Linked DNA regions of Lepisosteus oculatus. The protein of the gene in region 1 purifies or fractionates together with the protein of each later gene. This does not show direct contact. Links are inferred from orthologs where the notes say so. Each region holds a gene or a part of one and is shown on either strand. Other genes may lie near its edges.

Region 1 (7,260 bases):
AATCTCCGTAGTACATTTTTATGATCCTGTCTTCTCCAACTTGATAAAAGTTCTAGACTAAACTTTTGTAAGGTTTGATAAAGGAAGTAACATTTCTGTAATCAAATCAAGTCAAGAGACAATACTCTCTCACCCTGATCTCCCTGGTTCTCTTATATGTGTCCTTTTCGTCTGTCTTCTCAAACAAGCACACTGTCCCCGGCCCAGCTGCACAGGCAAACCCCTTGGAATAGGCAGTTATGGCTGAGACATGAGGAAGAGAGGTGGACATTGGCTCATCCAGCATGCTTTTTTCCACTGACCTAACAAGCAAAAACAGAAGTTTGTAACTGCATGCATTTTATGTTTTTACATTATAAGTGTGAAAGTTAACATATTATTTGTCGCTTTAATGCGCATTTATTGTTGAAGGTGGATGGATGAACACACAAGATGGATGAACAGGCATTGTTAATCTGTTGTCATAATAATCTCTGTACACAACACAAATGTATCAAGAAGAACTGGGGACTCATACAGTACTTGGCATAAATGAAATACTTCTCTTGTTCCTAATATCAACCTGTGTTCATATGATGCCATTGATTCCAAGTGCTTTACTTTGGAAATTTAAACTTTCGGTTATTTAACTTCCTGATTCAAGTGTACACATTTCTGACACATGGATGTAATTGGTGGCATAAACAGCAGAAGATTCAGTCAACATTTTCATTGCAAATTTCTGAGGTCCCTTAAGAAACGTCTGTACTACATATTTAAGAGGAGCATCAGTGAACAGCTTAGAAACAGTTGTTGTTTGTCTCTCCAGCCTCCCTCTCTCACTGTACCTGTCAGTATCTCTAGTGGTTAACTTTGGCACCACACTCATCTCCCAGCGCAGATCTCCTGACTCAAACACCAGGAGCCTCCCGGTCTCTGTGCCGACAATAACTCTCTCATCCGACACCCACATGTGGGACAGGAAGTTGTGAGCCTCCAGCTTCTGGAAGTTGGATTGTTTGAGGGTTCCTTCAGCATAGCGGAAGAGTTTAAACACCCCATTTCCACTCACGCAGATCTGTGTGTTGTCCTGAGGATTAAAACTAACCTTAGGAAATAAAAGAAATGTGTATTTTAAAACATTAATAGCTCCTTTTTGTTTTTTCACTTACAGATAGACAAATCAAAATAACTCATTAGTTTAAACCTAATGATTAAAAGAAATTAGTCACCACTGTCTACACTTACATTGATATTTCAATTAATAAAAAGTTACATTAACCCATTTAACTTGTGGTCAACAGTGTATGTTCAAATTACATAAATCCAACACATCCACTCACAATCATGTCTTTTTTGAGTTTAAGACTGTTTTCATCACTTTTTCTTCATGCCTCAGGTTTTTAAAAGGGTTTTGTTTTTTTATCCACCCTCATGCAATTTATCTTTATTAGCTTCCACTGGTGGCAAAGTCAGTAGAAACTCAAGAAGGACTATAAGGTGGCCATCTAAACTAGTCGCGTGCAAACTTAAACCCTGTTTTGTTCAGTACCTGGGAGATAGGGTTAGTTGTGGTGCCAGTCTTCACTGTGGCCATCACCTTTTGTTTCTCCCACATCCAGTAGAACAGGGTCCAGTCTGGAGCCCCCGATTGGCCAATGAGGTATTTGGAGTCTGGAGAGAAAGCCATGTAGACAAAGTCCTGCACTGGGGAGTCCCCCCCACTCAGGACTTTCCTCTTCCTGCTCTGCTCATGCTGCAGGTCGTACACAGTGATGGTGCCTTTCTCGCCTCTCTCTGACACGGCCAGGTAGCGGCGGTTGGAGCTAATGGCCAGGGCTTGCATGCCATGGCTTCTCTCTGTGCCTGCAGAGCATAGTAGCACTGATGGTTAACAGTCTCCACATTATCGGTTATTGTTCTGTTAAACGTGACAGACATGCAAAAGAGTTCCAAATCTGTTTGAAATGTGATGCTAAATATTATAAATAGGGGGATTTTAAATGTAGGGTCCTTATACAAAGGTGTTATTTGTATATACTAGACACTAATTATTATGTTAATTAATGAATGTTAATTGTATACTAGTTGCAATAATTATTACACATAAAATTAATAAAATGCTGTCTATAGTCAAGTTTGGCCACGTGTTATAAACTGTTATACAGTTTAAAGGTGGCATAATAACGAGGAGACAAACTTAAAACACATACAAAGATTAAGTTATAATTCAAATATACAAGACACACAAACTAGTATCTACAAAATATTTACAGTTTATGAGTCCCTGAGTCAAGACATTCCACAGCCTAAAGTTCCCTCTCTTCAAAGGCGGACCCACACGAACGCAAACCAAGCAAGACACAACACAGCTGTTAAGGAAAGTCTCCCCTGGAACATTTTTTTGAATTCTTGAATTAGGTCAACTCATAGTCTTCTCTATTTCAGGGTATAAGGTTTTACTTCTTTTAGACCTTTAGAGTAGGATAATCTTCTGAATACAGGTATGTAGCTGATCACTCTTCTCTGTATTCAGTCCAGAGAGGCAATACCTCTTTTGTATCATATTAACCTAAGTTATGCACCCATTCTAAGTGTTACTAGTGTATTGTACAACTTTAACATTACAGCACATCATTTAAATTTTATAACTATAACTCTATGTTCTTAAATATATATACTAACATTCTGTTTGCCTGTTTATTGTCTAGAAGTGTCTGTCACATCGTACAAAAATCCATAAGTATGTTTTATAGGCAGCTTCATGTTTTCCATTTTAATTTATGGTTTATGTCTTTGGTATCTGCATGTAACACTCTGTAGTTGTCTACATTAGATGTCATCTACTAGATGTTTGTTCAGACTTGAATTCCATCTGAATCTTTTTAAATTTCCTTTTCACTTTCTTCTGTTTTTGCTAATCCTCCTGTTTTGATGTCTGTGAATTTCAGTATTTTACTATGTATGCCAGAATCTAGATCATTGATACAAACTAGTCAGCATAGTGCTCCGAACACAGACCTCTATGGCACTCTACGAATTATATCCATCCAATTGGCACATTCACACACCTTATATCTAATATTATATGTTTGTTTCATTTGCAAGAAAAATATTCTTAATGCTTCTTTAGATAATTAGAACAGAATTAACCACAGACCGTTCCTTAAAATCAAAGATACCGAGTTCCCATATTGAGGTCCACAATCTAAAAAGACAACACAATATAGTCAATTTATGGAGATGCATTTTCTTACCTGGAATAAACTTCTGCCATTTCTGGTCAATGTTGTAGCGCACACAGTTGTTTCCAGATGGGAAGATGACAGTTTGCTCATCAAAGTACAGGAGATTATTGGTCACCCCGGCCCGGAGACCGAAGATGTGATGAGACTGAATAACAACCGCAGACATTGTTCAGCGATTGCTCGCCCTGCGAGTCACTTGGCGGACCTGCTAATACAAGATCCAATTCTACAAATCCCATAAGCCAAAAATGCATTGTGCTCAATTAAAATGCAATATCGATTCAGTGAAAAACTATACTCTCATTCGCCGCATTTTAAAATAACTTTATCATATTTTACCAATATATTTAATTTAATATTAAATATTTATTTATTCCAGGCACTAATAGAAAGATAATTGTTGATACCGGTACATTATTTTAGTTTTTATCATTTTAATTAGCTAGAAATGTCCTACTCTAAGTGTTGTACAAAGTTTTTGCCTTAACGCGAAAAAAGTCACAACGGATATATAAAAGCTTAAGTCATTATCAATATTTAAAAATCCTTTTTTGGTATATTTCTTTACACTTTTGACTCTTTAACGTATATGTTGTGTTTTTTAAACTTCAGAAGTCCTTAATTCGTCGCTTCTTTAAAAAAAAATATGTTGACACCTACCAACACTTGTGTCTGCAGCGAGCCCAGTTTGCAGTCCCGCTAACATTGTTTACCGGTTACCAAGGGGACAGAAAGTGTCAAGTTCACGTGTTACTGTGACAACGAATGCTCCCAGACATCTTTACGGCAGTGATGTGTACCGGGAATTGTAGTGAAGTTCTCTTTTAGTTCCCAAATTTAATAAATGTAGAATTTGCTCAGTCGATTTATCAATAAATAAAGGAAACATTGAATTTGATATTTTTATATTTATTATATTTTAACACTTACTGATTATTAATCAACTATAAAACGGAGAAATTAATTCATAGCTTCATAACATTTGCGGAACGTTTCTTTCAAGCACTCCTCATCCAGGGCAGAATTGCGTGCGTACTTGGTCTCCACTTCCTCTTGTGCTCCATGTGTCCATGCGAGTGAGCTGCAACACGCTGAGGAGTTTTAATTTTCAGATTTGCTTGCATTTGTTGACTGTAAGATGGAGGATGTTGAAGATGATTTACAGTTAGGCTTCGAGTCCGAGGAAGAAGACGCCGATTTATCGGATGGAGAGGTGAGCACGCGCTTTTAAATCCGGTCTTTATTTTTGTCCATATCAGTACAGTTTATTACTGTAGTAATATGTTAAAAGTTGTGTTCATTTCTTCTCCTTAAACGTTTTTCCCCCAAACACGCGAGGAGCTCTATTATAGTTTTATAAGTCTGCATTATTTAGTAAGTATTTTAAACTATTATAGGTCTGGATAGCTATCGATACAGTTTATCTTTCGTTTTGAGTTTTTCCACTAAGACATATGTCTCATTGAGCTCTAAGGTCTGTTGTATTTATTTAAAAGGCTTAATTTAAAATCAAAAGTAAGCCCTTAACGGTATTAATTGTCTTTATATGTTTAGCTCCAGGAAGCCTTCTCCAAGGGGGAGCTGAAGCCTGGATTAAACATTCCTCTACAGGAAAAGAAGATCGTTAACAATATGGTGAGTCTTGTTTCCTTGTTTGTTTGGGTTCTTAAAACTTGTAGGACGAGGAGACATTGACAGTTTTATATGGGAGTTGTTACAATGTTTTCGTTTGTCAAATGTGTTACTGGTGCTGAAGTTTCTCACTAAACCAAATGTCTTGGAATTCTCTAAACTGAAGCCCACTTGTCTTTGTGTTCATAGGAAGGTCTGAAGCAGTGCTTGTCCGAGCTGCGAAAGAAATTACCCTGGTTGGAACGGCTGGATTTGACCAGTTTGCCAGCGCCTGACATTGTGGCTAAAGCAGAAGGGAGGCCAGTAGCAGAGGAGAGTGGGGAGATCAATGCAGAGGATGACTTCCAGAGAGAGATGTTCTTGTAAGCCCGCAAAAGCCTTTATTCACCACAGTATGCAAAGAGTTGCCATTTTGCAGATTGGAACTTTAAAGGGTTGAGATTTTTGCCTCTAATGCTGAAATATGAATTAAGCCCTTTTTCATCAGTTAGGCTACAAAAATGACTCACTTATTAGTTATCTCCCTTGTATATTAAATAATCTTGAGTACATCAGTAATGCTGTGGCTTGTGCACTCATTAAAATTATTCTGCATCAGCATTCTTTTGTACATATCACTGGCTTCCTGTAAAATGTGGAGTGGACTGTAAGGTTGTCCTGATCGTGTATAAGGTACTAAAGACAGCCTTCTCGCAATGAGCCACAATGTCTGTGGAACTCCCTGCCTCGATCTATTGGAGAGACTAGACTGCAACTGTCAACATCTTGGAACAGGCTTATATATACACCCTTGCCTTTGCTGGGTCTTTATTTTTTTTAAGCTCATGAGTCAAGTTATATTGCTATTATGTTTTACTTTCCCATGTGTACATATAGACGTACGTAATGAAGATAAATGCCAAGGCAAGCTTCCTCAAAAAATCTTGAGACACCAAGAGAAAAACAGTGGATAAACGCATGTTTCTTGTGTTATTGTGGGAAGTATTCATCACACTTTTTTTTCTCATTGCCTGTTTTTCCTCAATGTATTTTAGCTATCGTCAGGCCCAAGCTTCTGTGCTGGAAGCATTACCACGGTTGCACAAATTGAAGATTGCTACCAAGAGACCAGAGGATTATTTTGCTGAAATGGCCAAATCTGACCAGCAAATGCAAAAGGTTGGTCCCACATACTGACGCATGAGACACAGAGAGATTATTAGTGGATTTAAAATAAACTTGGGGGCTCCTAATGCAGTCTGTTACAGGCAATTTGTCTTTTCCAGCAAATGGTTTAGCATCTTAATCAGTCTGTAGCATAGACAAAAATGCTAAATTCTCTTCTGTTGTTGAATTTGACATTTCAAAACGGCGTGAAGTCTTTACAAAATCTGTCAAGTGCGTTCGTGTTTCACATCTGTATCCAAGTGTGTTAAAGCTGGTATGAATTCGCATTTGAAAAAAATTGTATTGAACTAACTCCTTTGAACGAGATCTGATTTTTGTGTGATGTATATCCTGTACATCTTCTCTTGTAGATTAGAACAAAATTGCTGGCCAAACAGACAGCAATGGAGAGGTCTGAGAAAGCCAAGAAACTCCGAGAGCAGCGGAAATATGGCAAAAAGGTAAGTCAGTGGGTTCTGCTGTCTACCTGTAAGGACTGTCTCCTTCCACAGTTGTTTACTCATACCTTGCATGTTTTATGACCTGCATGAATTGTACAAATGAAAGTGTAATAGATCTTCATCCTACTTATTATGGTTTGTACAAACTGAGGGTTCTCACTTTTGAATTAAGCTTTTAAAGTTGGTCATTGTTTGGTGATTTGTGGGGATCTGTTTTTCTGAATTATCGGTGTGTTGTAGGTTCAGACGGAGGTGCTGCAGAAAAGACAGAAGGCGAAGAAAGCCATGATGACTGCAGTAAAGAAATACCAGAAAGGTACAGTGGGCTTACACAAAGGATGAGGATACTAACGCAAGGTTTTAGACTGGTTTTAGATACCAGTCCATGACTTTACCTTAATATGCTTGTCTTATTGTGCTATAATAATACATTTCTAAAAGACGGCAAATAAGAGACTTTCAGATTCAGTTCAATTATTTTCTTGTGAGTGGAAAATAATGTCAAGTGATTTTACTGTTCCTTCCATTTTCTGTAGAAAAACAAGTGAAGCTGAAGGGGACTGTAATACTACTGTAGGTAAAAACTGTTTTTTAATCTTGATGCGTAATGTACAGCAAATTCTTACTCTACAGGAATGACCGACAAGCTTGATTTCCTGGATGGTGACCAGGAAAAAGGCAAGAAAGGGGATAGCCTATCAAAGCCAGTCATGAATCAACGAGGGTAAGAGCTCTCCTTTTTTTTTTCTTCATCAGTCTAACCTTACAACTTGGGTACTTCCCGTGAGATCTGT
Region 2 (7,291 bases), on another chromosome or scaffold:
ACAGAACCAGAAAACAAAAGTCTCCTGTACTCACCTGATAATTACGGAACCATATCCTGTTATCTGCTATCGTGAAAGAAAAGACGTGGTCTACAAATGGCTGGCTCTTTGGGTGGTACTGAGGGGTAGCGAAAATCTAAACCAACCGGGAATAATTGGGAAAAAAAATAAATGTAATGTGTACAAAAGCTGAATAAACAGCAACACACTGAACTACAACAAACATCAATGGTAAGCTTACTAATTTTTGCATTTTCTGATCATGTGTTTTCTTAGTTAAACAATTCAACTCAAAGATATTTAATCCCTGAAATCTTATCGACAAAAAACAAAAAAATGGCTCAAAATCCACCGTTCTGTTATTTCTACCTTAGTGTTTTGACTGCCTATTCTAAATTTTAATGGTCTCCAAGTTTTATTGATACCAAAAAAATATATTCAGGCTAGTGGTAATGTCCTCAGACATCTGAGGCTTTATTATGAAAGACAGAATATCATGATTGTCATGGTAGTTTCAAAAGCAGGAAGAGAGAACAAAAACATTGAAATCAGCAGCGAAGATAATTATAAAGTCCAAATCATGCCTACCTGGATGAACAACTCCTTCAGCAGCGCATAGTGTGGCTCTTTATCAAACTTCTGATGGAAAAGGCAAAAAAAGTTATATAGTATCCCAAAGGACTTTAACTTTAAAATGTTGAAGATGTTAAGTTTCGCTGGTGTTTGCTTACAGGGTCAAATGACAGCAGGGGCCTTGATCCTTTCAGGCAGTTTCCAGTCATCTTCAGCTCCGCCAGAGTGTGAACTTGAAGGAAAAGGGAAAAAAACAAGGAATGAAACAGCTGTGGTTCCTGTGACTGCACACAAGGAACATGCAGGAGAACACGCACAGGCAGGCACCTCGCATTTTTACAGATCATTTTATTAAAACAAATGAACTGCAAAACCACAATGAAAACTATACGTAACCTCAACTCCAGTATGGATTGTAAAACATAATAGAAATTCTCATTCCCTCAAGTCTACATCAGTGAAGGTGACTGAAAAAACTGTCAATTCTTCACAGAGATTCAACAGTTGCCCAAGAAGTGTGATGTAGTTGCATGTCAAATTACAACATCAGATATTTAACAAACCCTTTACAAATTTAAATTGTTTTTGATGCTTTAAGGTTTGAATTATCCATTAATCCCCAAAAGAGTCCTTCAGATGCTTTTACTTACTGTTTTGAACCAAAAACTTGGCTGAAGGTCCGTGTGGAACATTGGAAAACCTTAAAAAGTAAAATACAGTCAAACAACCCAGCAATATACATTTACTCAGTAATACTACTAGTCATTTGTCATAAAGAAAATTCACAAAATAACTTTCAATCGAATCAGCTGAGTACTCACCACAAATAGAGGTCCTGTTTCTTTTTGGCTTCAAAAAAGATACACTTGTTGCAATTTTTGATTTCACAAACCTGGAAGACATCAAGTTTAAATGTTTTTCAGTGAAAAACTAAGACTCAAGCACAAATGGAATATGTAACTACACTCATATCGTGCTCTGCTGTGAAGCATCACAACATTCTTTCAGGTAATAAAGTACAGGTTTCAACTGCATCTACAATACTGTCAAAGAAGAAAGACGAGAACACCCAGACATTCTACTACTTTTCTTAAACAAATACTAACAAAATAATTTCATACACTGCATTTCATTAACAACTGAATTGAGTGCTTTTTCCAAGACCTATTTGGTCCGTATTTCATATGGTTCATCTGAATAAGTACTAAGTTACTTTTCATCTTTAATAGTTGGTATCAATTAATTTCATAAGTTATAATTCCTTTCTGCTCGTTTTCAATTGGTGAGAGACAAAAAGTGTCTGGCAAAACAATGTCATCATCACCAGGCTAATAATCTGTGATTACACTTGGATTCAGTCCCAAGTTTTTTGTGCAAAACCCTCATTTATCTTTTCCTATCACGCAGACGTTTGAGAAATTAATGTGACAAAACTACAGACAACCTGAAAGACAAGCATAGACTTACCTCATTTACAACAAACAGTTTATCCTTTCGATCCATTTTTGTATCTGGAATGAAATGTCACATTAAAATATTACTGGAAGAAATTTAAAATGTTGAAGCTGGCTTTTTACCTAAAGATTACTGAGGTATGTACACGATCTTCAACAGCTGACTGAGGAGCCTTATTGTGAAAGAAACTGGCTACACTCACTGGCTGAACGCTTACCTGGCTTTGTGTGAGGCATCAATGTCCTCAGATCATTCATAAGGTGCCTGGTTCTGAAGTCGACACCTCTGGAGGAAAACAAGAGAACCCTTTCTTTGTTCGTCCACTTACCCTAAAGTAAAACAAGGGGAAACTTGTTATCCATGCTGCCTCTGATGCTGAAGCAGAAATTAGACTTTTTATACTTATGATTACGTCTATAGAAAATTGAGAAACATAACTATTTCAAGTAAATGGCTAATAATAAATAATAAACGGTTGAAACATTTATAAAATCACAAAGAGCGTATAGATTTATTACGCAAACAATATTTCTGAATTAACTTAGAGCACCGAACACGCAAACTTGGCTGGAGTAAAATGGAACAGCTATGTTTCTCTTACTTAGATTCACTCTGAACATGGAAATAGACTAAAAACTGCATGTAATTAATCCAAATTAAGTACAAAAATAACCTAAGCATCCTTTGCTAAATACGAATTGATGGGAGCGTTGTTAAAGAGTGCAGCAATTGCAAACAACTGCATACAACTCATAGACAAAGCAATAAAGTCTGTCCTCATGTGCTATACATACCATAGAAACCGGTGCTGGAATGCTAATTTCTTTGTTTGGCTCCTGGTCAGGACCAGATTTCTGTTTTCGTTTGTCATTTTCAGAAAATTTAACTTTTTTTCCAGTTTTCCCGGCTCCGGCATCTACTCCACGTTTTCTCTTGAAGGCACCCATTTTAGAGGAAGTGGACGCGGACGCTTACCAACGATAGAAGGCTTGGACGCTCTAGAAAAAATGTTAACGAGAAGAACGTGCGCCACCATCCGAATCGGAGGACACAGTTCTTACAAACGAAATATTGCACACCTAGTGCTTTTCTCCCTTTTTATGTTCCTGTTCAAATGTTGAACTTAAATGTTTGTAAATGTGTTGAAAAGCAAAGAACAGCTTATTATTACCTAATCATATTTGTAGGTATTTTTATTATTATGAAAAATTATAGAATTTTCAGATTATGAAATGTTTTTGAAGGTTATAATAAATAATATTCCTTACACTTATATAGAGCTTTTCTGGACACTCCACTGAAAGGGCTTTACAGGCAATGGGGACTCCCCTCCATTGCCAATGTGTAGCACTCACCTGGATGATGTGATGGCAGCCACAGTGTACATGGTACGCTCACCACACATAACTATCAGTGGGGAGTATAATGAAATCATTTTATAGATGGAGATTATTAGGCCATGATTGGCAAAGGCCAGAGGCAAATTTGGCCAGGACAATAGGGTTAAGACTGCTACCCTTTTCGAGAAACACTCGACTCCATGGGTTTTTCATGACCATGGAGTCAGGACCTCGGTTTTACATTTCATCTGAAGGACGACGCCTTTTTGACAGTATGGTGTCCCTATCACTATGCTGGGGTATTAGGACCCACACAGACTGCAGGGTGAGCACTCCATACTGGTCCCACTAACACCTCTTCCAGCAGTACCCATCCAGGTACTGATCAGGCTCACACCTGCTTAGCTTCAGGGGATTGCCAGTTGTGAGTTGCAGGGTGATATGGCTGCTGGCTAAATTAACTCTGTATTCTGTCAACTCTATATTCTCTTTATTATGGTCTATGTAGGTTTCTTTTGGATGTTAGTCTGATGTACAAAAATTGAGTAATTTCCCCTTTGGCTGAAGAGCCAGGTCATATATTTTTTTCTCCCACATTGTTCAGATCCATGTTTCCAGGAGAAAAGGACAAGCCAGGACAGCTGGCAACCCTGATGATACTTGCTGGGTTGTTTAGTGCAATTTAAACCTCACAAAGAGTTTGCAAAAATTAAGACTTTTTTATTTCAGCGTTTTTTTATACAAAAATATTTTAAGTGAAACATAACTTTACAATTTGCTTGAATCACCACTGCCATGAAGAGATTTACAATTGGAAAAATATGACAGCAATATCTTTGAAAACAACACAATGAACAGAATCAGGAAAAGAACTTTGCAGGGCTAAAAGAAAAGGAATAAATAGACTACTATGTTCCAGGTTCCTCAACTTCCTCATCTGGACAACAGTAATACTCCACAAAGCAGATTTGGCCGTCTTCATTTCTCACCAGGTACTGCAGAGAGAGGAACCCACGATTGTCCATCCGCACTGAGACCTTGCAGGACAGGGCCAGCGCTTTGGTGGAAGGTTTTAATAAGGACATTTTATACCTGCAAAGACAACAAAAAGCTCATCAAAAGGGTGAAAAAAATCTACCGTTATCCTATCATGTTGGTAAAACTCCCATGACTACGCCATCAGCTTTCATACTGAGTGTGCTGGATAATGACTGAACACTGGATCTGTTCAGGACAGAGGAAGGCTAGAAGCAGGACTGTGAAAACTGTTATTAGGACTTCAGTTACTCAACTCTGTCAGAGATATTATTCATATTCTATTAGTGTGGTTTTAACAACATCTTTTAGCTCTATGCCTCTCCTTTAAAGTAAAAAAAAACAATTCTGTTATGGTAAACCAATTTAAACTGTTTTCATTTAATGTTCCAATCCATATAATCTTTATGGATTTTACTAACCATAGAACCTCCAAATGAAATGTATACTACAAAGCCACTTGAAACTAGTTATTCTTCAGTGCACAAAAATAACCTTACTGCTTTACATTTTTCCATAATTATGTAGTCAACAAATGATTGTACTATCAATTATCATTTTTATGTCCTTTATTAAAAGGGTGTAGTACTACCGGCACCCTAGCCTTAATTACTGTATTAATACAATACATATAAAATACTACAATAAATGTAACACTGAGTAGAGAGACACTGCTTTGTCATCTTTCTGATCTGTCAATTTAGATAAAATAGTTGAGATTATTAAACCTAATGCATTTCTCATCACACTTAATTTGCAGAGTTCTCACTTTGTCATGGAAGGCAGTTCGTAGCTCTTGCAATGTGAAAAACAAGTTGTAAATTTCTGAGTATTTAGATTATTTGCATAACAAAAAGACTGAACAATTTAGAAAATTACACTTTAGACTAACAAATAATTTTATCTAAACCTTAAATGTTGGGTAGGCCAAAATAACCAGGATGGAAGGGGTCCGCTGACCTGTTTGTCTGTGTTTGGCTACACTGAAAGAACTCCATCATGTCCGAGTCCTTTGGATAGTCATAGTGGGCACTTCCTGCATTCCCAAACGTAGATAGTCTATGTATTGGTGAAAAACAGAAAATGTTAGGGAATACTTCCACTGTTACTTAAGTTACAAAATGTTTGAGATGGCAAAATAAACTTTGTTTTCAGTGAACAGAATACCATGTGACTAATAACATGCATGCTGTGTTATGGACAACAAGGCTACAGAAGGCATACTTCAAGAATGTTTGACTGATGTTTACAAAATTTTCAGACTTAAGCATGTGATGGTATAGCATAAAGCATACAGTACATGAGCTATGATCCTGACTGAGCTGCTTGTTACCTGACTTGTTACTACCACTTAGCACTACCAGTAGCAGTGATAAATAATGCATGTGTGGTACTTTTTAATAGTCCAGCTTTCCGAGTCTAATCTTAAAATCATGTGGAATAAGCTTCCCAACCCTTACATCTTTCTAAAGAATTAATATTCACAGCAGAATATTTACAAAAACTAACTGCAGATAAGTTTAGGAATCTTGACATAGTACTTAAGTTGGTTTCAGTTAAATCAACGCTATCAAGGTGTCAGCAATGGACTCTTCCTTGTATTCACACAATCAGAGGGTAATTCTCATATTCCAGAGTAAATGTTAAGTCATTATGTTTGAACGCGCAGATAAACAAAATATTATGGAAATCTAATTTTGACATCACGTTCTACTGATTTGTGGATGGAACACACATTAACCATCCCTTAAAAAATTAAACCAATAAGCAATTGTATGAAAATAAAAAAAACACAAAAAAGTAGTTATTGAAAATTTAATGCAAGGAGTTGCTGTTCTGTGTTGAATCTTTCTTCGAGGTTTGGGTTTTTCCTTGTATATCATCTACATTTCTTTAATGTGTACCTACACAGAACTTCCACTCACCTAAAATAAGGTTTATCTGGGGACATAGTGATTTGCAAGACCTCGCTGGTCATGTCAAGCTCAGAGAAGGCCTCCCGCAGGCTGTCTGACTGCAGAATCACTTTGTTGGTGACGTTGGTGCTACAGAAGTCAAAGTCAATAGGATCCTCCGGCTCCATGGTGTTTATTTTGCACACTGTTACCACTCCCTCTTCTTCAAGGAACAAGGTCAGGGGGTAGCCATAGCCACCATAGCACATCCGCAAAGCAGTTGTAACTCCTTTCATCCAAAAAGCACAAAAGTAAAAAAAAATCAGTAGTGATAAGTGAAAAAATCTTTATCCATAGAAAACTGGAATATTTTTTCCAAGTAAACAATAGCTCTCTTCAATAAGAGAAAAAAACAACGATATTTTTATACTAACATTTTTTTTAAAGAGCAATACCTGGCACAACATTTCCTCCAAAGATGGTGAGGCAGTCTAAGAGGACAGTCAAGTTAACTGTGAATCCAACTGAGTCTTCCTTTATGAAGTAATCCTGGAAGATCTCAGCCTAAAAAAAGAAAAAGTCCTGCTAACTACAGTATGCAGACATATACAGTACTAATGAAATACATATTCATTCTTAATTCCTTTAAACTATGTATATTAATAATCACAAAAGACGAAAAAAATTGCATCAATGAAACAAAAAAATATTTGTCCACATTATGTTTCTAAACTTTTCCCCTGACACCAGGCACTTCATGTAGAAGCATGTTACATCAACATGTATTTTTATAAATTCACGATGGCACTAACCTGTATAAAAGCATTGGCTTGCAAGCACTTGGAGTCTTCCACGGTAACTTTTAGCCCATTAGGTGTGGCTGTGAAGAGAGAGTGGTCTTTGAAACTGATGGCTTTTAAGATGTTGGAAAGGCTTCTGACGTTATCCAAGCTGGCCACCAACACATACTGGTCATCTCTTACTTCAGGCTGA
Region 3 (7,445 bases), on another chromosome or scaffold:
TAATACTAAAGTATCCACACAGCTGAGTTGAAACAGCCTGAGTTCTTGTACTTAGTTAATTGCCGGTTCTTTTATACACAATTCTCTTTATTTCTTCAGACTGACTCCTGTCTCTTTAATCTCACATTCCACTGCCATGTGGAGGGGGTTTGTTCTCACTGGTTTCTTATTGTTCTCATTAATTCTTCAGTCTTGCTACAGGTTAATTTTGTTACAGTTCGTTACTCATAAACACCAAACTGCTTCAGCTGGTGTGTATATTACATACACCTAACAAGCATTTTTTTTAATCAGCTTTACCCAAAGAGTTGTGGGTGAATGGTGCAAGTTGTCCAAACAAGTCTCTAGACACAACACAATGAGATCTGTGTCTATTAGCGACTATCTACCTATCAATTTACTGTCTTCTATGATTCTATGCTTTCTATGCTAACTGGCTGAAAAGCTTATCAAAAGAACAAGTTCTAACCTGGACCCCCTGGAGGTAGTGGCTGAAAGGAGAATGGTGTCCAAATTAATGGCCATCATGGACAGCGTCTCCCATCCCCTCTATGACATGCTTGTGAGAACGAAGAACACGTTCAGCAGTAGGCTGATCCAACCACATGCGACAGGGGGCGCTACAGGGGGTAATTTCCTGCCTTCTGCCATCAGACTGTGCAACTCCTCCACTGTGTGTCTGGGCAGGGGCAACATTGACCTGTTTTTGGGAATGAAAATGAATTTCTCTGTTTACAGCTGGTTTTCCTCTTTCCAACTGATTTGTGTGCAATATATGCTTTGTGTAATATATTTATAATGTGCAATATATCTTTTTGTATACTGTACATTCTGGTTTGTCTTACATCTCCTGTAATGTGAGCAATTCTATATACTCCATTTTTAAAAAGGTTTTACTGCACTTCTCACTGACTGTACTTACTGTATTGTTGTAATATTGTATCATTCGTTACATTGTCCTGTGGTAACAGTGCCAGTCTGCTGGTGCACTGCAATTTCCCTCAGGGGATTAATAAAGTATCCTGAAGAGAGTTCTGTTGTATATAAGAACAACGTCCTTCTTTCAGATTTGATATAAATCAGTTGCAATGACTACATTCTTTTAACCCCGGTTGCTTCTAAATCAAAAACACAGATTAAGCACAGGCACATCAGTACAAATACGTTGTTTCTTCAGACCTTGGACTGTATATTTTTTCATGCATTCTTGATCTTACCTATATTTCATTCTCTCTCATTTCATAATTACGATATGCATCGGGTTTAAAGAACTGACCTTCTTTAGAGATTTTTAATAAGGGGTAAGAAGTTTTTAGGTCTAAGTGGCTGCAGTAAAGGTCAAGAACCTCTGCTTTCTTTATTATGGGCTTTTTAAGAGAAACGATTCCTTCTCTCCTGCTCCCTCTGCTGGACAGCTGTGGTCTCTGCTCCCTGAGCCTTGTCCTGGTTGAGCTGTAGCCTTACAAACAGGGACATACTTTTCTATCGGACCTGTCCAGCACTTAACTTGGCGAGGTACACTTGAATAATTTGAAACAGCGGTTAGCCGCTTACAGCCACTTGGTCAGAAGAGGAGCTGTGTGTGATTTAAGTCAGGGTGAATTTGAATCGAGCACAGGATACACTTTACACAGAATTGGGGGAAGTAAACAGCAGACTGATGGACAATTTTAACGTTCATCCTAACAAGCTTCTCGAATTTAAGCACATCGGAACGACAAGCGAGAATTATACGATATTGCTTAAAGAACCAAGTGGGAAATGTTTTTTGTTTTTTTTTATTAAATCAATCAAATCCAAGTTATTTTAGTGCCATTGCACTATATTGTCTATTTCCACGGTTTGAAGCAAGAAGGAAGAAATCATGATTGCTCTTTTACGGACTCTGTGGGTGGCTCTTAAAAGAGCCTTTGGGTTCGCTGATCCGGGACGGGCGGGCCGGGTTTACTTGGAGCTGGTGTACTTGGTGACGGCCTTGGTGCCCTCGGACACGGCGTGCTTGGCCAGCTCTCCGGGCAGCAGCAGGCGCACGGCGGTCTGGATCTCCCGGGAGGTGATGGTGGAGCGCTTGTTGTAGTGCGCCAGGCGGGAGGCCTCGCCGGCGATGCGCTCGAAGATGTCGCTGACGAACGAGTTCATGATGCCCATGGCCTTCGACGAGATGCCGGTGTCCGGGTGCACCTGCTTCAGCACCTTGTACACGTAGATGGCGTAGCTCTCCTTCCTGGTCTTTCTGCGCTTTTTGCCGCCCTTCCCGGCCGTCTTGGTCACGGCTTTCTTGGAGCCCTTCTTGGGAGCGGATTTCGCTGGTTCAGGCATCTTCTCAAATTACGTACTGCGTACAAAATGATGAAACTCACGCCTCCTGCAGCCCCCTATTTATAGCGGCTGTATGCAAATCATCTCGCTCAGCTGAGAAGGAGGCTCATTGGTCAGCTAGAGAGCTGCTCTCCTATTGGCTGCGCTCTGCGCCAATGAAATTCAAACGGCTGAGCGCCTGAGCCGCTCGCTCTGACTCCAGGCGCCTCTCTCTCCCCTCCGCCCGAGCACTCAGGAACAAAGGGCCGTGCGATCCGTTTTGCACTACGTGCAGATTTTCTGAAATCCGACTCTCATGCCGTTTATATCCCCTATCCTAGAAAACAATGTGCTTGGCGTAAACTGTGCGATTTGTGCAAACTTGGGAGTCAAAAGCCCGCTCGCTCTGATTCCAAGCTACTAGGACAGCAACTTTGCTGCAGTTTGCGCTCCGAGGTGCACTAACAGCCCTGACCTCTAATTGTGTATTTTGTTTTTAAATCTCACGATTCAGTCGCCTTATATTTTCTCATATTTGTGACTGAGATAGTTCGATCATCATAAGAGCTGATTGTTTTGAAGCAAATCCAAAAGTAATTTAATTTTCATGGGAGAAAAAAGGACCTTTGTTATTGGGGAGTGCGCTTATACACTAACCTATTTTAAAAGATCTTCACTATCAACTCAATAGCGTGTTTTTTTTAAGTAAATAAAATAAACAGTACCAATTCATGTATTAATAGTTTTTATTTAAGGTCTAAAATTAACTATCGTTCCACTGATATGTATTTCTGCTCCGCTAAACGCAGATGGTCTTAACAGCATTAATCTAATTCATATGAAATGCAATCTAGGTACCACTGCAAAGATTTTCCTTTTCACTTTAAAAAATAAAGGCTGATATGCAAACCAACAGTACATCCTTTAAGTGGGACACAATCCTCAATCAAGTCACCTGATATATTTTGTCATACATGTAAGAATTCATCTGCATTTAATTTTTTTTTTTTAATTGTGTGCATGATAAAGGATGTGTAGGGGATAAATACACCGGAACTCTTGAAGTTATCATTTAAAGCTGCTTAGCCCGTTTATTTGTTGATTCACTCATATAAAATCAAAAACCTTTCCGTTTTAACGCCTCTTTTTCGGAGCCGGTTTTCTGGGCGCCTTCTTCGCCGCCCTGCCTTTCACAGCTGGGCTCTTGCCCTTATCAGCGCCTCGCCTGTCTGCGACCTTCGTGGGTTTCTGCCCGGTGGGCACCTTGCCCGCGGCTCCGGCCGGCTTGTTGGTCCTGCCATGACGCCCCGCCGGCTTAGTCTTTGCGGCGGCCTGTCTGTGTCCCTCCGCCCCCCGCTTCGCGGCTTTCCGTGCCCGCTCCGTCGTCGCCGCCGCCGCTGCCGGCTTCGCCCTCCTCTCCCTGGCCGGGTTGAGCGCGAAGGAGCCCGTCGCGCCTCTGCCCCCGGTCTGCACCAGCGTCTCCCGCCGCACCAGGCCCCTGACCGCCGCGGCGACCCGCGTGTCGTTCCTCTCCACGTCGTAGCCGCCGGACGCCAGGACCTTCCTCAGCTCCGCCATGCACAGGCCGCCCCGCTGCTTCGACGCGGCCACCACCCGGAGGATGAGCGCGGAGACGCTGCCGCCGCCGCCGCTCCCTCTCTTCCCGGCCTGGGCGCCAGCCGCCGCCGCCGGCCTCTTGTTCTTCAACCCGCCGACCGCGGTTTCTGGCAAAAAGGAAGTGAGAACGACATTAGGCGAGAGGGCGGTGTCTAGACATCGTTTTCACTCTTTCCAAAACTGCACAGGCGCTGTGACGGAACACCACGGCATCATAATGAATTAAAATGACAGCGAGAGGCGCGGGTGTTTTGTTTATGTCAGCCGTGCTCAGGGGCGGCCGGCTGGGATTGGGGGGGTCACACTGACTGGGCGCGGCGCCGGCGGCCTCCGGGCCTTCGTCCCGCAGCGCCTTCTTGAGCAGCCGGCCGAGGCGCTTGGCTCCGGCCTTGCCGAGTCCCCGGCCGCCCGGCTCCCTCCCGGACATAGTGTTTCTGGAAAAGCGTCAGCCGAACGGACAGAGCCCAGAGCTCCGTTGGCAGACATGGAAATGTCCCGTCGCTCCCAGTGAGGCAGCGCTGCCGCCGGCAACGTCTCTCTCCGTCCGTTAGGGGATTTGTTTCCGAACTGCGGTTGCCTGGCGACGGAGGGTCCCGCGTGCTGGTGCCCAGGTGAGATGTATTTTTCTTTACGCCGGGACACCTGCAGTTGATAACTGCACCCCGAGCCACAGCGCCTACCTGAGGCTTTTGGGAGCCTTAATAATATAACTTTCATAATGCATGAGAGACAAATCAAGACTAAATAAAGACCTATTTCTGACTGTTTATAGAAGCATTTTACCTCTATGTACATGTACACTCTAGGTCTTTATTTTTTTCATTGGGTTTTTCTTTTAAATGATTATTATTAATTATTATTGTTAGTTTCCCGATATGTTCAGTGTCTTGGATTCACTCCACCCTGCTGACCGGAATTTATTTCCTTAGGTTAATTCTTAGTTTCAGGTACAAGAGTTCTGTGGTTTACAACAGCTTGCTACAGCGAACCTTTGTAAATATGTTTGTCTTAATGTTTTTTTTTTGTTTCAGAACCCTAAATTGTAACTCTAACAGATCTTTTCCCACTTTTAATTGAGTGTGCACAGATAGTACAATCCAGGATCATCCAAATAAAGAAAGTTCGTACGTGCCGGCGGTCTCAGTTCTGTTAAAATAACTTAATGACTGAATTTATACTTTTGTGTTCAGTTCAATCTTCTGATCAACGTTGTTGAACAAAGCAGCAGCAAGTTATAACCCCCCAAGTTAGTGAGAGTATCTACGTACGTCTTTTAATCTAATGCATGAAATATTTTTCGTATTAATGTATTTGAAAAACGTGCTGCCTTCAAAACCTTTGCCTATTAATACCCGCCTCGTCTCTTGCCAAAACTGTTAGTTTGAGCTCTTACAAACCACTTCAGCTTATTAATGGCCGGCCTTTGGAGCGCGAGAGGTTAAAAAAAGGCTCTTAATACGTCACGGAGACCCGCTCTATACCGGCGTGTGTTTTGGTAAGCGCTCTGCGTGATGTCATAAAGGATGCGACGGAAATAGCTCTCTCTGCTAAGCGACGGAAACACGTGCCAGTCTTTGCGCACATTTCTCGTTTTCGTTCGTGCTACTACGGCTGCATGTGCCCGGACTTTTAATACTTTAGAGCTGGATGATTCGCCTTTTACAAACCAGTGAGTTTTCTTTTTACTTAAAGATATAAAAAATCGAGGGACACAGGAGGGTGGGGGGAGAGAAATCTTGACTGTGCGGTTAAAGTCCTGTTACGATTGTAAACGGATTCTTGTAAAACTTCAATACGAAATCGAACTATTGAGATGTTTATTTACTACCGCCGTATCCTCGTTAAAACATTAAGTGAAACGATAGTAGTAAAGAAGAAGTGTTAAGACATAGAAAAGGTAAGGTAATAAAAAAAAACCCTGCCCCGATCAAATTTAACTTAGTGGCCTGTAGATTGATTAGTGATCGGAGGAGGATTTCTTTAAAAACGCTATGGAAATGTGTTCGCTTTTAGTCAGCAACTAAAATTAAAACGAAGTACTGTTACTAGAAGCTGAAGTACTAGTACCCCGTGAAATTGTGATAGAGGTAAACCAGATTCCTATCGTGCAGCGGTTTCATCACAGTAGCCTGCAACCTATCAAATGTGAAATGTTGTTGGTATTTTAATAATTGATTTAGACATCTGATATCGCTTTGCTTTTTCTTGTAGATTGCAGGTTTGTAGACGTTCTAGTTATTTCTCTCTGAACTACATCTGTTAAACAGTGTTTTCTTTTTCTTAACCAGACGGATTTTATTTGTAAGAAATATCAAGCCATGCGAATCTGTAGGATTTCCAGTATTCGAAGTTTTGCTTTGCAGGATCTGTCATGTTACGTTCGAGATCATATGTCTAAATTCATTTTATTTTCGTTTGTATAGGCTGTGATTGGTTAATTTAGAGGTCAGTCATGGGGCGGAAGTTAGATCCCACCAATAAGCAGAAGCGAGGGCCAGGACGAAAGGCCAGAAAGCAGAAGGGTGCAGAGACAGAGATTCCCAACTTCTTGCTGGAGGGTAAGCAGCCATCCTGATCATTATGACTGTGATGTACTGGGTGGACTAACATGAGCTCCACCTGCTTAGACTCCCACTGACAGAGCAGGCTGGACTGGACTGACTGGACTGGGAGCTGGATGAGTTCTTTACTGGGATTATAATCAGACTCACACTGACACTGACAGAGCAGTCTGAGACTCTCCAGGCTGGACTGGACTGACTGGACTGTGAACTGGCTCAATTGTTAACATATTACTCTACCAGTATTAGTATTATTATGTCAGAGTCACTTCAGTGTGAGATGTGAGACAGTTGTTTTAAATAAAATAATCACTAATATAATTTGAAAATGTGTTCCCTTTTTTAGGTGATAGTGCGTCTAAAAGACTTGGAAGCAGAGCAAGGAAACGGTAGGAAATATCATCACCACTACTGTTCTTGGTATTTTAAATTGCTGTTCCCCTGCTTCTTGCAAGTTGTGATTGTTGCTATTGTTACTTCTCCATAGTGCTGTGAAGCGTTCTGTTCCCACCTCCCAGCCTAAGAAGCCTGAAAAATCAGAAATAGAACCAAAACAGACAAAGAAAGGTAATCAAATCTTAATGCTTAAAACAATGTCTGCTGAATAAACAAAATGTATTAGTTGTGTTTCTAGGGTCTATATTAGGGTCTGTATGAATCTCTGTGTGTGAGGAGTGTCTCTAGGGTCTATAGTAGGCTCTGTATTATTCTCTGTGTGTGAGGTGTGTCTCTAGGGTCTATAGTAGGCTCTGTATTAATCTGTGTGTGTGAGGTGTGTCTCTAGGGTCTATAGTAGGCTCTGTATTATTCTCTGTGTGTGAGGTGTGTCTCTAGGGTCTATAGTAGGGTCTGTATTAATCAATTTGACTTACTCAGGCTTCAGCGATGAGAACAGCGAGTGGTTGAAGCCAGCGAAGCGGAAGCGTCCCGTGGCTCAGTCCGACAGCGAGTGCGATTCGGAGGCTGAGG
Region 4 (7,097 bases), on another chromosome or scaffold:
AGTGCTGAACTTCCCCAGATTCAGCACACTCTCCTCCACCTGGTGACAGAAAACACACGTGCAAACATCTCGGAATTTAAAATCGCAAGTCACACAAGCCCTGGGAACTCAGCACGCTGTACAGGGGGCTCTCAGCTGCTGGATCCTTAATTGTGAACATTAAAAGCCTGACGCCGAATACTTTAGAACACCAGGGATGCTAAAATTGACCGCAAACATTAACCTTCTACTTTAAGTGCTTTATAAATCTGAAATCCTACCCAACACCTCTGCCCCTCACACCCATGAGTCATGCAGTAAGCAGTTATGGTAAAAACCACAAGCAACATTTTCTGCACAGAACAAGGGTATGTGTCCGACCACAGGGCAGAGCTGCACTGCAGTGGTCTCTAGCCCATGGATAATGACAGTCTCAGGCTACATGTGGAGGACAAACACCCTCACCCGAGTGTCATTATGATTGGGGCGGGGTCAAAGGGCAGGGCCTCACCTGGGGCAGCAGCATGCCGATCTCCTCCACCTCCTTGACGGCGAACAGCGCGTACCCCGCCGCATGTTCGAACAGCACGTGTAGCAGCACCTGCGGAGAGAGGGCCGGGGGTGAGGCCACACGCCACGGGCCAGCAGGCAGCAGCAGCAGCACCGGTGTCCCGGCTCCGTCCGAGCTCCTGACATCTCCCTACACTCGCTGGAACAAGCAGGTCTGGCGCCCCCTTCTGACCCGCCAGCGCATCTCCCAGCTGGGCTGCGAACCTCAGTGTGAATCACCTCCCCTCTATATTCAGACGCACCCTGGAAATAACGAAGTGCAAGACCAGCCTGCTCCACATTACACCACGCAGCAGCGTGCCTTTAAAACCCCCGTCTCTGCTTTACTTCCCCGGTGAAGAGCTTGGAGATGAAAAGCACTGTAAGGGCAGCGACAGCCGCTGCCTATCTGTACAGGAGGGCGCGCAGAGGCCTAGACAAGCCGCAGGATTGAGCTGTAATTCATGGTGACAGATCTCAGGGGGAGTCCTCCAACACAAACTGTCGGTATTAACCGACACCTTGGTGTACTACAGAGTCAAGACACGATCCACATCAAAAGAGACCGGGACAGAAAGCGGAAGAACTACTGATTAACATAAGAACAAAAAACTACAAATGCGTGTTCATGCTGCGTGTTAACGGGACTCATCCCCTTCCTCGTGATATCAGAGGTACTGCAGAAAGGAAGACTATTTTGTCATTCAAGTAGGCAGCCGTGTCAGCATGCGCAGGCTGCAGAAGAACAAGGCAAAGGTTGTTCCCTTCTGAAAAGAGAAGATCGATTCACCGCGGAGCCACCAAAGAAGGCTCCACAGCCGAAACGTAACTTCTCTTTTCAGCAGCAAATAACCCTTTACTTGTTCCCATTTTGTCATTTCCCAGTAGCACCGCGGTCGCCAGAGGGCACTGCGCTTTTAGTCCAACGACAGCGAGGTTTTTCCCGTGTAAAAAAGAAAAGCGCGAACTATTTCATTCTGTAAGGCCTCTCTCTCATGGCCGCACCGCGCCGGAACCACGTGGGTCCGGCATCACGGCGTGCTCAACCCCCGCACTCAGACCCCGGGAAAGAGGCTTGAATTCTGCCTGTCAGGATCGTACACCGCCGAGAGACGCCATGAAAACACTCCTCGGTTCATTCGGTTTTTTTTGGGGGGGGGAAGAGAGGAATTGTACCAGAAACTCGCCCCTGGAGGCGCTTCAGAGGAAACCGCTCGGGTCCGCGTCGCCACGTGCGCGCCCCGCTCCCCCCCACCACGTGGCGACGGGACGGAGGCCCGCGCCAGAACCCCCCCGCAACAAGCGCCTCGTGTTGCGTACCCCAGGTCCTTCTCCAGCCCTGACGGGCCCAGGATGGTGCAGCAGCAGCCCCGCCACCGCCGCTCCCGAGCGAGAGGGCAACACGTGGGCCGGCGCCAGCTCCGAGCACGAGCCGGGCTCCAGAGCGCGCGCGGTGCAGGGGTTTTAACTGCGGCTCTTTCCCAGCACTGTGACTTCCCCGGCCCGTGCCCCGCGTCAGATATCGTTTTCTGTTCCTGGGGCCTAGCTGCAGCCCCGAGCAGCTGTGAGCTAGCATGCAACTAACCGAAGATCTGCAGAAATCTGATAAAAAATATTGATTTTTTCATCCATATGTAACTTCCCACAGATACAGCTATTTCATACTACTTATTACACCGCTACCGAGTACTGCTTTGCAACAGCAACACCCTGACTGGGGCCACTGTTCCAGACTGCGTGTGACCCGCATCTCCGCCGGCTACGTCTAAAGAGCCAGAAAACGTATTTTCCGTCAGTTCCTTCGCACAAGCAATACCTCCACTGTATTGCCTCACTGAAAAGCACCTGCTGACTCGGTCTGCGCAGTGAAGTTATTTTCTTCCCCACACGTGCAGTCTTACCATTGCTGTTCCCTCGGCGCAGCTCCGTCCTCTCGTGCTGCCTGTTCTCCTTCCCAAGGTGCTCTGCGCGCCGCCCCACCTCGCTTTCGTGCCCGAGCCCGCCCCCTGGCTCTTCGAAGTATCGCGAGAACAAGAGCTGGGGGAGGGGAGGGTGGAGAGATGGGTTTCCATGGCGCCATCTGCTGTACGTTTACCGTCACATCCTTTCGCCCTGACTGAAGAGCGAGATTTTGGACAGATCCTATGCTAAAAAATTGAATATATGCAACACTAAAAAAAAACCACGCACCTGGTTGAAATTCCACCAGGACGCCGGTCTCTTTCTGCAGTCTTAATTCTGAAAGACAACTGAAAGTCACACACACAGCAAAGCATACAGATGCACAAAACGTATTTCCCTGCAGCTCCAATTCGTGTGTTGATTGGTGTGTTTGTAGACTGCCTACTGCCTATAATAATAATAATAATAATAATAATAATAATAATAATAATAAATAAAGTAATTGCTAGCTCTCAGCACAGGGGCTCAATGCCCACCCTGGGGTGCTGTCTGTCTGGGGTTCATATGTTCTCCTCGTGTTCATGTGGGGCTTCCTCCAGGTGCTCTGGTTTCCTTCCACTGTCCAAAGCCATGCTGGCAGGTGACTGGACGTCCAGGACACTTGTCCGCGGTGTGTGTGGGCGTGAGCCTGGACTCGTGGCTGACGGCGTGCGGGAGTGAGTCCCCGCTGCAGACACAGCTGTCACCCCTCGCGTGACAAACTCTGCCCCCATTACCCCCTGCCTGGGAGCAGGAGCTGTGACGCACTGGCGTTTATCCAGGGGAGGGCGAGCCGTGTGCTGTCTGATCACTTCACGCCTGGGAAACAGGATAAGATCTGATCTGATGAGCCTCTGTGTGGCTTGATTGTTCCTCGCAATCCCACGGCTTTCTAGACGAATGCAATCACTGCATGTTCTGTTTCATTGGGTAAACACCTGGCCCGCTGGCTGGGGGCACCCACCCCTGTCCTCACAGGCCACTGTCCCGCAGGTTAGAGAGACCCTCAAACCCAACTTCTTAAGGACAAAGAGAGGCTCCAGCACCTCTAATTAAGCAATTAATGAGTTCAATTTGGTCATTTTTATTTATTTATTTTATTTTATATTTATTTTTTATTACTGTACGTATTCTAATTTTTTGTCTATCCTGATGTCTGTTCGTTTTGCTTGTTTTGGGCTGCTGTAACACATCAATTTCCCTTCGGGATCAATAAAGTCTTATCTGTCTCTTAAGATGTCAAGGGGCAGGAAAACAAGAACTCTTCCGGCCCTGAAGTACTGCAGCTATGCAGCCCTGCCTACACCTGAAGAAGGCTCCACGGCTGAAACGTTGGGCTTTTCTTTCTTTTCTTTTCAGCGGGGAATAAACCTTTACTTGTTCCTTTGCAGCCTATACCCGCTGACGCAGGGAGCCACCTGAACTACTTCAACCTAAACCTGCTGCGACCCACTATGCCCTCCTCCAAATCTTTTTCTAGATCTCTTCGTCATTCCTTCTCTTCCTCCCTGGGCCTGGCCCTGGGCCCTCTCTTACTAAACCAGCTTGCTCACACCCGAAGAAGGCTCCACGGCCGAAACGTTGTGTTTTCTTTCTTCTCTGTTCGGCAGGGAAAAAACGTTTACTCGTTCATTAAGAGTCTGCTCTGAACAGCTCCCACCAGGTGATAGATTTAAGCATGAACAGACACGGGCGGTCATTTCTCTTCTGGGGAGGTCCACTCGGTTACTTTTCAGGCGGCAGACGTGAATCAGGGAAGTTGTGAAATTTGCACAGGTTGATACCGGGTATTTGAATGGGAGTAAAATTGTGCACAGGGTTAAGAACATTGGGACATAAAACAGATTACAAATGAGAGGAGCTGTTCACCATTCACTTGGTGGTAGGTAATTGACCCAAGGGTCTCAGTCAGTTGTTTCCAGAAAGAAGCAAGGCGTCCGCTTCAACCACATGGCTGGGTAGCTTGGTCCACACTCCCACAATCCCCTGCTGACTGAGCTAGCTAAATAGCATTTCGTTATACCATACACCTGTGTATGAGCAGAATGAAAATAAACTTTAAATTGATGCTAGGTGTAATACCATTAATCTCTTTCAAGATTTGAGAGCAAATGTATAAAACTGTCCCAGTTAGAGAATTTATATCACAACAGGAAAGACACCTGTGCACAGAGCAGCAGCAGCTCAGCTGTTTACAGTGTCTGTCTGTTAGGAGCACCAGTGAACAGCTGCAGTATTACAGCACTACATGTTTACTCGCACAGGGCTGTAAGCACTGATTCATGAACTCATATCTTTCGGTGTAAGTTTAAAACATTCCATCCTGTCCCCTATCTGGTAACATCACTCTACCTTCTTGTCTTAAAAGTGCATTATACTTTGCTCAAAGAACAAATATATTCAGTTTTTTGGAACTATAGTCAACAGTCCAACAAGCATTACTGCCCTCTAACCCAGGGGCCTCAGACTCAGTTCCTGATGAATGTAGTGTCTTCCGGATTTTGTTCCCCTCACGGTCTCAGTTACGAAGCTGGTCTAAATACCTAATTAGCCGGATAATTGCTAAGAATTCTGACGAGGCTGGGGTGAATTTCAGGCGACTGCCATTTGAACGAAGTGGAAAGTTTTGTGAATGACGTTCAGAAAAACCATTGTCCAGTATATGTCATTCAGAAAAGAATGAGTTTACTCTCATTTGACTGCTCATAATGGAACCATACCTCACCCTAACCCTGCAGAAGACCCCGCTTTGAGATCTGTAATCGAAAAGCACTTTGACCCAAGACACTTCAAACAACAGCAGCCAGTCCCTGGAATAATGTGTACAGAGCGAACAGAAACTATCCCCTTGGTAACGGAGGGTGTTTCCGGTTGTGTGATTAAATCCGTCCTGCTCGACTCCTACACTTCTCACTGTTGTTGCGACTTTTCTTCTCTCTTTTGCCTTCGGTGTTAAACATTGGCCAGCTCGTCAGCCCCCAGAGTTCCCCTCTGATTTCATGTGGATCAATAAAAGCTTATTAGAGTGGTCACTACAAAATGAATCCTTACAGCTGCGATAGAGCAGAGAGCAAGTTACCAGTCAGACACACACGGGTATTTATATGGTCTGCTGTTTGCGCTGTTCCAAAGTCAAATAAATTAATGTTCAGTTTGGGGGAAAACGCGCAAGAAAGCTGGAAAAGAACAGAAAATGCCGTTCCACGCTCCTGGAAACTGCATTGTGGTCACCACTGGCAAATCATCGAGTTTGAATTTCAACGTGTAGCAAGCAGGGGGTATTGAAATAAATACACAGAACAAACACACAAAAAAAAAACGACGCGGCGGTACTGCAATGAGTTCAGATCAAAAAGGTGCGGTTGCTTTCTCGCTTTTCTCCCGTTTAGTGTGCATCTTTTCCTGGAGGATATGTGGGATGCGGAACAGTCTTGCTGGATCAGAGGAGGAGCGCGGACTGACTTCTCTACGGGACGTGACTTTTTACATAGTTTCGCCATCGCTGTCATCGCCCGTGTTTTCTCAAACCCCTCTTCCGGAGCTCCCGTCAGCATATAGCGGCACGGTTAAAATGTCATAAACCTGGACAGCTTATACAGGTTTAAGAAGGCGTGCCCGGAAGAGCTTTGTGTTCACCGGTTGGGTCGGCGAGGAGGTGAGACGCGATCACTTACGTTTGGAGACTCTCCAGAGACAAGATCCCCCTGTAAAGGTGTGTAATCAAGGTCTTGTCTCGCCCCTCATGTTCTCTGTGTTTTAAAACGGACCTGTGACGTGAAACAAAATAAATCAGACGCGATACAAATGTAAGTTTTATTACAGGAGGCGTTCTGTTGAATTCCTAATTAATACAGGGGTTAACATGTATTGCTGGGTTAGAGATTTAGACTGCTTCCCTCGACACTCTGCGACATTATATCAGATGTAATAACTGGTTTGAGGAACATTAGGGACCACCTATACCTCCTACCTGGATACGGACTAGTTACCAGGCTCATGTGTGCTTTTCCTGGGCTTACTGTACGTGGGGTGTGGTAAGAAACCGCAGAAATCTCTCCTCCGTGAACACGAAACAAATCTTTATTTTTAAACGCAGTCAGCAGCGACATAAATGGCAGGACAGGGGGTGGCAAAGCGTACAGTTCAACGAAGTTCAAAGCGTACAACTGGAGATGCCCCTCAGACACGTAGGCGTGGGTAGTCCAGGGTTCAGTTTGACTGAAGCACGGTACAGAGCGCTTCAACAGCTGATGGAGAGAGGAAGGTGTTTTCTAAATCAAAGAGCTGTCAATTAACTCATGCCAAGGAAGCCTTCATCTAGTATTTAGAGTGGCCCCACACGCCCCTCCATCATAGAGGTGAGACAGACGAACCCCGGACCGCGAGTGTTAAGGGGGCGAGGGGGGTCTGCTCCCGGTAATTGACAGTCAGTCTGTGTGACACAGCGCCGCCTGCTGGCCGGAGATGCCACTGTTCCGTGGGCCTCAGTGGCAGAGGGAGAAGGCCGAGAAAGGCCGGAGCAGAGGGCAGGTGCGCACCCTGGTCAGGCTGTGCCTCGTCAGCCTGGCGGACAACATGAGGGAGCTGTGGGCCCGGGACTACGCCGAGAACTACATGGACAGCTACAG

The links.
Region 2: the proteins of ebna1bp2 (region 1) and bxdc2 purify together in Homo sapiens (affinity purification with mass spectrometry; 4 studies listed by BioGRID and IntAct, counting the BioPlex papers as one, with this or other methods). This does not show direct contact. The link is inferred for Lepisosteus oculatus from reciprocal best matches to the Homo sapiens genes EBNA1BP2 and BRIX1.
Region 3: the proteins of ebna1bp2 (region 1) and nop2 fractionate together in Homo sapiens (co-fractionation; 3 studies listed by BioGRID and IntAct, with this or other methods). This does not show direct contact. The link is inferred for Lepisosteus oculatus from reciprocal best matches to the Homo sapiens genes EBNA1BP2 and NOP2.
Region 4: the proteins of ebna1bp2 (region 1) and nop56 purify together in Homo sapiens (affinity purification with mass spectrometry; 4 studies listed by BioGRID and IntAct, with this or other methods). This does not show direct contact. The link is inferred for Lepisosteus oculatus from reciprocal best matches to the Homo sapiens genes EBNA1BP2 and NOP56.

What each region holds. Positions count from the first base shown.
Region 1 is NC_090704.1:14,769,407-14,776,666, reverse strand, and holds the start of ebna1bp2 (probable rRNA-processing protein EBP2), read left to right. Parts: upstream 1-4,260; 5' UTR 4,261-4,365; coding exon 4,366-4,440; intron 4,441-4,781; coding exon 4,782-4,862; intron 4,863-5,048; coding exon 5,049-5,221; intron 5,222-5,893; coding exon 5,894-6,017; intron 6,018-6,376; coding exon 6,377-6,466; intron 6,467-6,706; coding exon 6,707-6,782; intron 6,783-7,099; coding exon 7,100-7,190; intron 7,191-7,260. Other genes in the region: cfap57 (cilia- and flagella-associated protein 57), read right to left, coding at 134-302, 828-1,087, 1,532-1,845, 3,237-3,393. UniProt on the Homo sapiens protein: Required for the processing of the 27S pre-rRNA.
Region 2 is NC_090698.1:20,699,796-20,707,086, forward strand, and holds the start of bxdc2 (ribosome biogenesis protein BRX1 homolog), read right to left. Parts: upstream 3,005-7,291; 5' UTR 2,976-3,004; coding exon 2,823-2,975; intron 2,358-2,822; coding exon 2,246-2,357; intron 2,085-2,245; coding exon 2,041-2,084; intron 1,466-2,040; coding exon 1,395-1,465; intron 1,274-1,394; coding exon 1,224-1,273; intron 806-1,223; coding exon 732-805; intron 640-731; coding exon 589-639; intron 137-588; coding exon 35-136; intron 1-34. Other genes in the region: cell cycle checkpoint protein RAD1, read right to left, coding at 4,277-4,460, 5,364-5,462, 6,329-6,587, 6,754-6,862, 7,111-7,291. UniProt on the Homo sapiens protein: Required for biogenesis of the 60S ribosomal subunit.
Region 3 is NC_090718.1:3,596,944-3,604,388, forward strand, and holds the start of nop2 (28S rRNA (cytosine(4447)-C(5))-methyltransferase), read left to right. Parts: upstream 1-4,436; 5' UTR 4,437-4,526; intron 4,527-5,467; exon of another isoform or gene 5,468-5,584; intron 5,585-6,338; 5' UTR 6,339-6,367; coding exon 6,368-6,473; intron 6,474-6,822; coding exon 6,823-6,865; intron 6,866-6,963; coding exon 6,964-7,043; intron 7,044-7,352; coding exon 7,353-7,445. Other genes in the region: histone H2B 1/2, read right to left, coding at 1,945-2,319; histone H1.2-like, read right to left, coding at 3,433-4,022, 4,225-4,342. UniProt on the Homo sapiens protein: S-adenosyl-L-methionine-dependent methyltransferase that specifically methylates the C(5) position of cytosine 4447 in 28S rRNA. Required for efficient rRNA processing and 60S ribosomal subunit biogenesis.
Region 4 is NC_090698.1:69,131,530-69,138,626, reverse strand, and holds the start of nop56 (nucleolar protein 56), read right to left. Parts: upstream 2,995-7,097; coding exon 2,967-2,994; intron 2,767-2,966; coding exon 2,719-2,766; intron 2,645-2,718; coding exon 2,430-2,644; intron 581-2,429; coding exon 491-580; intron 40-490; coding exon 1-39. Other genes in the region: uncharacterized protein, read left to right, coding at 6,934-7,097. UniProt on the Homo sapiens protein: Involved in the early to middle stages of 60S ribosomal subunit biogenesis. Required for the biogenesis of box C/D snoRNAs such U3, U8 and U14 snoRNAs. Part of the small subunit (SSU) processome, first precursor of the small eukaryotic ribosomal subunit.